Linked DNA regions of Elephas maximus indicus. The protein of the gene in region 1 purifies or fractionates together with the protein of each later gene. This does not show direct contact. Links are inferred from orthologs where the notes say so. Each region holds a gene or a part of one and is shown in the gene's direction. Other genes may lie near its edges.

Evidence for each region. The genes of interacting proteins can lie anywhere in the genome.
Region 2: the proteins of PHB1 (region 1) and SLC25A5 purify together in Homo sapiens (affinity purification with mass spectrometry; 3 studies listed by BioGRID and IntAct, with this or other methods). This does not show direct contact. The link is inferred for Elephas maximus indicus from reciprocal best matches to the Homo sapiens genes PHB1 and SLC25A5.

The regions. Positions count from the first base shown.
Region 1 is NC_064837.1:44,182,395-44,186,140, forward strand, and holds the start of PHB1 (prohibitin 1), read left to right. Parts: upstream 1-783; 5' UTR 784-830; intron 831-840; exon of another isoform or gene 841-914; intron 915-2,053; 5' UTR 2,054-2,090; coding exon 2,091-2,178; intron 2,179-3,705; coding exon 3,706-3,746.
Region 2 is NC_064846.1:37,412,483-37,416,228, reverse strand, and holds SLC25A5 (ADP/ATP translocase 2), read left to right. Parts: upstream 1-739; 5' UTR 740-900; coding exon 901-1,011; intron 1,012-2,000; coding exon 2,001-2,487; intron 2,488-2,701; coding exon 2,702-2,842; intron 2,843-3,233; coding exon 3,234-3,391; 3' UTR 3,392-3,646; downstream 3,647-3,746.

The DNA.
Region 1 (3,746 bases):
CCTGTGCTAACTCGTGCATGACCTTGAATGACTCCCTTCCCCTCTCTGGGCCTCAGTTCTCTAGTCCTGTTGGTTTCTAAGATTCCCTCTGGTTCTGGCAATCAATATCCATGACTCTAAAGACGTTTCCGGAAACCCTGGCGGCGTAGTGAGTAAGAGCTACTGCTGCTAACCCAAAGGTCGGCAGTTCAACTTCACCAGGCGCTCCTTGGAAACTCTATAGGGCAGTTCTACTCTGTCCTATTGGGTCGCTATGAGTCGGAATCGACTCGATGGCAGTGGGTTTCTTTTGGGGAATTTCGAAGACGTTTTCGGACGGGGCTTCGGAAAGAAGACGGCATCTCAGCTTCCTTCAAGGTCTCCCACCCACCAGTTGTTTTACGAAGGTACCCGTCCCTCTTCTCTCATCAGCCGTAGACTAGTCCCTGCCCTGCCCAGTCCGGTCACCAGCTGCTGGCACAGCCGTTTTATCCTGGGGTTCTAGGGGCGGCCTTCTTCGGATAGGCTCTAGCACCAGTTCAGGATAGGCATGTGCCCCAGGAACTACAACCCCCAAAAGGCTTTGCGGCAACCTCTCTGCGGTTACGTCCAAAGAGAAAACGCCTTTCTGCGCGGGGCTTCCGCTGCTTGACCTTTTGGGAATCGTAGTCCACCTCCGAAGAGCCGAGGAACCAGGGCAAGGCTGCAAACTACCCTTCCCAGAACTCACAGCGCTCCTCCTCACCAATCAGAGGCACGGATATTGGAAGGGGGCGGGAAAGAGGAGGAGCTGCCGGGCGCATGGGCAGTGTGTGGTTGGGGAATTCATGTGGAGGTCAGAGTGGAAGCAGGTGAGAATGGTGGAACGTGGTACAGGCCTGCTGGGGGTCTCTGCAAATTCCCCTTCCCTTGCATACACTCTTCGGGCGAGCGGGGTGCGTGCGTGGGTCCGCTTCGCAGGGGAAGGGAAAGAGGATGGGTTCGGGACGGGACAGGGGTTCCATAGAGTGAGGGAGGTGTGTATGGGGGCAGGGTGAGGAATAATCCAAAAACTTTTAGAAATGGAATAGCTGAAGGGGAAGGACCAGAAGTTCTGGGCTGCGGGAAGAAAGATTTAAATGCACGGAAAGAGCTCAAATTAGGTTCAAGAGTTGATGTCTAAAAGGGAAGATTTGAGACAGGGGAGCAAACGTTGGGGCGGGGCATCAAAGAACAAAACGAGAAAAAAAGTTAAAAGCTGGAGTAGGTTTTTAGTTAGGTCAACTCTGGTCCCGCCCACCCTACCTCAGCTCCACCCTACCAACACGTAAAGAGCGCTCTTTAGCTGTGAAGCTACTTAGAACCTTTATGCCCAAATCGGTTGTTATCTTGGTTCCAGAATGTCATCCAGCTCTTGCTTCCATAATAACAGTATTCTTAATACATAATGTTGAGAAGCGGTATGATGAGGGGTTAAGCTGTGCCTTCTAGAATTAGACCACCCTGCTCAAATCATGGTTCCACCACTGAATAGCTGTGTGATCTTAGGCTCCTCACCTAATGTGCTCATTTGCTCCACTTTCCTCATCTGTAATCATCTACTTCATTGAATTGTGAGAAATAAATTGCCACAGAACTCTGCCTGGTATAAATATTAGTAGTTATTTTTGTTGGAATCACTGTGTAGCACCTTCTTTGGGTTATTTTTCCAAACTGGAATTGGTTTCACAGAACAAGCCACACGACCTCTCACTCGGGCCTACTTGTCCAGGGAACAGGAGAGTTGTTTAGAATGCAGCGAAAAATTCTCCTTGGTATCAGGCTCGTGCCTTGGTCTTGCTGACTTCATGTTCCCATCATTGAGCCAAGTCCCCTAGACCCCCTTTTCTTTAACTGGTTTCAACTGAAGAAAAAGCACAGGAATTGGTACTGCATTTTTCCAAGCCATGGAGTTATTTATTAAGCACCCCTCAGTGGGAGAGTTAGAGCTCTCAGAAGTGGGAAAATAAATACCCAGGCTGAGAAGTGAATGCTTTGTCTCACAGAGGGCTTTCTCTGGGGGAGCTCCATTGTTTTATTTTGTTTTTACCTCTAGGTCTGAGTGGGCTAAAAGGCAAGATCCAGCAGAAGATATGGCTGCCAAGGTGTTTGAGTCCATCGGCAAGTTTGGCTTGGCCTTAGCCGTTGCAGGAGGTGTGGTGAACTCTGCATTGTATAATGGTGAGGCACTGAAGGATGGTGGGTCAGTGTCTTTTGCCAGAAGATTCCTGTTGACTGGTATAGCCCACATGACTCTTGTGATGGGAACTGTGTTTGTGACAAGAGGGCTTACCTACTGCCATTCCACACCAAGTATTTGCATTGTTATCAGAGCCTGGTGTTCTTTTGGCTGTAGGTTCTTCTGAGACGCATGATTCAAAAAGAGCTACCTGGCCCATTTGGCCCATTTGCTGGCTGGATATTTCCTGCTGTTGTTAAAGTTGCGGCACCACCCTGTATGCTTCAACAGAGTGTCAGGATTTCACTGGCTAGCTGAAATGGAGATAACTTGGTATAACCTTAGACCTATTTGGGTGACCTTGCCCTGAACAGGAGCTTTTGCTCTGCTGAAGTTGGGTAGTTCCAGAGAGAGTATCTTTGGGATGCGTTGTCCAGCTTTTAGCAGTGTGGCAGGGGTTTAAGCTGGCTTTTCGTCCACTTTACATTGTGGCCTTAAGCAAGTCACCTCACCTTTCTAGGTCTCAACTTCTTCATTGGTCAAGCAATGGCAATGAACTAGTTTATCTCTAAGACCCTTTCCAACTCCAACATTCTGTAACTTCCACCATGGAAAGCACGCAACAGGTTGACCTGCCTTGTGTGTGGCTGTATGATGAGAGGAGGATCACTTTCAGAGTGGAGATAAATGGAACGAACTATAGAGTCCAGAGGCAGGAACAGAAAGCAGTTGATCAGAAAAACTTACTTGGTTTATATGGCACGTCTTCATACTATGATCTTTTTGGCCACACCTGCACGACAAGACAGTACCACCATCACTGAACTTCTCTCTAAATCAGCAGGATAGCTCTATAACCCATTACAACCCTTAGAGAAACTGAGGTATTAGAAGAAGTGAAAAAAAAGAACCAGACCTGTTGCCATCGAGTCGATTCCAACTCATAGTGACCCTATAGGACAGAGTAGAACTGCCCCATAGAGTTTCCAGGGAGTGCCTCGTGGATTTGAACTGCTGACCTTTTGGTTAGCAGCCGTAGCACTTAACCACTATGCCAACAAGGTTTCCATTAGAAAGGATTGGAACCTTTTAAATTTTAGGATTCCCATGGTGAGAGTATAGCTTCTGGGACACTGGGTTAAATTGGAGCCAGGATTAAGCATAGTAACAGTAAAGACCTCAGTGAGTTTTTGAAAGAAGGTTAGGAAGTCATTTCTTGAAATACATTGGTGGTGATTTGGGGAGGGGATGGTTAATCAGAAAATCAGCAACCAGTTCTTTCAAGGAGAAAGGACTCTGAGGAACAGATCCTATTACCAAAGTCCTTGGGGAGACACGTGGGACAGGAAGTGAGTACTTAGTTTTGTAGCTATTTAGAGACCTTTAGAGACCAGAAGTGCAGGAAGACAGAGCAGGAGAGGGGAGACTTAATAAATGAACAGAAAGCACCAGGGATCTTTCAAAGACATGATCCTCTTTGGCTAAAGGGTGAGGGAGCTTTTCTGACCTGTCATTATCCTTCTTCCTAGTGGATGCAGGGCACAGAGCTGTCATCTTTGACCGGTTCCGT
Region 2 (3,746 bases), on another chromosome or scaffold:
GGGGGTGGCGAGCCAAAACAACTCGGTAATCAAGATAGATAATTTTTAATGCAGTATTAAAAAATTTTTTTTTTTATTTTAAAGAATGAAAATTAATGCAGAACATTCGGGAATGGTTAAGGGTGATGAACAACATGATGGACATGTTTAACGGCACTGAACTGTACATGTGAAGAATGATGAAACGGCAAATGTTTTCTTACCTGTATACTTACCACAGTAATAAATGAATGCAAAAAATCCACGATTGAACATACTATCAAAATTGCAAATAAAGACAGGATCTGACCCTGCACTTGCATGTCCCTGCCTCACTTGCCTCCAATTAAGCTTTATTTTTAAAAAAGCAGGTGATTGGCCCACCGGCCATAGATTGCTTATTGGAATTTTTTTTTAATATTGCTTTAAAATACTATTTGTTGCGATTACTGAGTTTTTTGGCGCCCTCTTAAGTATTGTGTCTGAGACGAGTCCCTCACTCCCCTCACCCTGGTCTTGGCCCTGCTCCAGGGGGGTTTGTCCAAGCACACGTGATCTCACCCTTTTTCCCCCCTTGAAGGGCCCGCCCCCTTCAGGCTCCAGCGCCCAGATCCTGGGTATTCCCTGGGCCCGCCCCGTCCTTCTGCCGGACCAGGTGCTGTGGCGGCCCAGAGCCGCGGGGAGAGCGGCGCCCTGGCGGGTCCCAGAGGTTCGGCCCTCCGCGCCCTGAGCCAATCAGCGGTGCTGCCGCCCCGAGCGCCGCGGCTCAGCTCCCGCTCGGGGCCCGCCCCCAACGCCGGCCGCCTTGGCGCCGGCTCTCCGTATATAAATCAGCCATTTGCTCTGCTCCGCCCCAAAGCCCCGGAGTCAAAGCCGGTTTGTGTCCCATTGCTGCTGTCGCCTGCCTTCTTTTTTTTCAACATGACAGATGCCGCTGTGTCCTTCGCGAAGGACTTCCTGGCAGGTGGAGTGGCTGCGGCCATCTCCAAGACCGCGGTAGCGCCCATCGAACGGGTCAAGCTCCTGCTGCAGGTAAGTCCAGGGGTCGCGAGCCCAACCAGGAAGTGGGGAGGGGTCGCGCACAAAGCCAGGGTCCCCAGGGGCGAAGGGGAGCCAACTCTAAAACGTGTCCGGGGAAGTGACGGGATGGGGCGGAGATCGCGACAAAGTCGGACCAAACGGCCAACACGAGGGACTTAAAGTTTAGGTGCCTAGGAAGGGCTCGGGATGGAGGGAGGGGAGGAAGGCCAGGCGCTCAGCATCCCGGATGCGGCAAGTTGCGAGCGACTATCTCCCCGGGCTTTGGGGTCAAGGGCGAAGCCTGAATGCAGGCGCGAGAAAGAGGAGCCCCGGGCCTTACGGAGGACCTCAAGGTTGCGGCAAGGAAATAACAGCCCGGGGGAGGCCAAGCCGGCCGGTCCCATGCCCCCCAACGTGGGTGGCGCGCAAACCTTGCCGGGCCGGAAGTCGGTGCCGGGAAGCGCGTGTGCTTCTACAACCTCCCCCGCGCAGCCGCCGCCTCCCGGCCAGCCATCCTACGCCTCGCCATTCTCCGCTCCGGCTCTAGAGGGAGCTCCTGGGTGAAAGTCGGGGTGGCGGCACAGTCGCTTCTAGGAGAGGAGCTGGGGCGGAGCAGGAGGGAGGCAGTGCAGGAGACCTGAGGTATAGGTCATCAAGGTGACCGCACCCTACCTTGGACTCAGTGCCCGTGAACCTGGGTCTGAGGTAATGACCTTTCTCTCAGATAGAAAGGTGACAGTCTTCTTGAGGGTGCCCCCTCTCCACCCAAATGGGTGGAGGCTTAATGCCTGTAAGGGTGCATGTCACCTCTTCCACCTGAGACAGCTTCAGGGCTTAGGAGGGTCCAACCTGTATGATACCCAAGGCTAGACTTGTTGCGGGGGCGCGGGGCGGGGCGGGTAGCTAACCTTAAAGGACATTGATTGAGATGATATCTTCGCCTCCCTTTCAGCTTCTACATGGTTATAAATGTCCCTCTTGGCCCGCTTGTTCTCTCTCAGGTGCAGCATGCCAGCAAGCAAATCACTGCAGATAAGCAGTACAAGGGCATTATCGACTGTGTGGTCCGTATCCCCAAGGAGCAGGGAGTCCTGTCCTTCTGGCGTGGTAACCTGGTCAATGTCATCCGATACTTCCCCACCCAGGCTCTCAACTTTGCCTTCAAAGATAAATATAAGGAGATCTTCCTGGGTGGTGTGGACAAGCGGACCCAGTTTTGGCGCTACTTTGCAGGGAATCTGGCATCAGGTGGTGCTGCTGGGGCCACATCCTTGTGCTTTGTATACCCTCTTGATTTTGCTCGTACCCGTCTAGCAGCTGACGTGGGTAAAGCTGGTGCCGAAAGGGAATTCAAAGGCCTCGGTGACTGCCTGGCTAAGATCTACAAATCTGATGGGATTAAGGGCCTGTACCAAGGATTTAATGTGTCTGTGCAGGGTATTATCATCTACCGAGCTACCTACTTCGGTGTCTATGACACTGCAAAGGGTAAGTTTGCGATGTACTTTGAAGCTGCATTGTTAAGAGACCATTTATAAAAGATTGTTATGCCAGCCTAATTTTCCAGAGATTTTTTTTTTTAATTGCTTAAGAAAGCCAGGGTCATCCAGTGTAGAAATGAGGAAATGTTTGGGGGTTGTGGAAAACCACAACTAAGTAGAACTCTGCTTTTTGGTCAAAGTGTCTCCTTTCCTTTTCTCAGGAATGCTTCCAGATCCCAGGAATACTCACATCATCATCAGCTGGATGATAGCTCAGACCGTCACGTCCGTGGCTGGGTTGACTTCCTACCCATTTGACACTGTTCGTCGCCGCATGATGATGCAGTCAGGGCGCAAAGGAAGTAAGTTCCACCTGAGCAGGAGATAGTCAGAGACGTGGGCATGGGGCAAGCTGTGGCCACAAACTGGCAGTGCCTGACTTTAAAAATGGCAGTCTTTGGATCCTGGGTTGGGACTGATAGCTTCTGTGTCACAGCTGCCTTTGAGTAGGCTGTTAGATGACTGAATGAGAGTGCTTAAATGGTCCTAGAGGTTAAGACCAATGGGTTGTTTGCATATCCCTATTTTCTAGTCACAGCATTAATAGTTGACGATTGCTCACGGGAATGTGTAAATGTTGGGTTTACAAAAATGGACACTAGCTTTTAGGGAGGCAGGGCTCCCTTCTTGTCCTACTGAGTTTTCGGCCTTTCATCTGCCCTCAGTCACCAATTCCATGTTTATTCTTTGCAGCTGATATCATGTACACAGGCACACTTGACTGCTGGAGGAAGATTGCTCGTGATGAAGGCGGCAAAGCTTTTTTCAAGGGCGCATGGTCCAATGTGCTCAGAGGCATGGGTGGTGCTTTTGTGCTTGTCTTGTATGATGAAATCAAGAAGTTCACATAAGTTTATTTCCTACTTTGTTTACCCCTGTGAACAGGCATATTGTGTTATATATAACATATCTTGAACATTCTTGACAGACTGTTGGCTGTCTATCAACAGCAACTATCTGCTGGTTGAAAATGGGAAGCAATAATATTCATCTGACCAGTTTTCTCTTAAAGTCATTTCTGTGTTGATGACGATGGGACTCAGTTCTGTTTTTTATTTCAGTCACTCCTGATAAATAAAAAGTTTGAAGAAATAAAAATATCTGAAATGCAGTTTTTGCTTGCTTGCAGTTTATTTTTACATACATGCTACAGCTATGGGTCTAAGCTTCTGGGATGAAGAGCTTTCTTTGAAAATCAATCCTCAG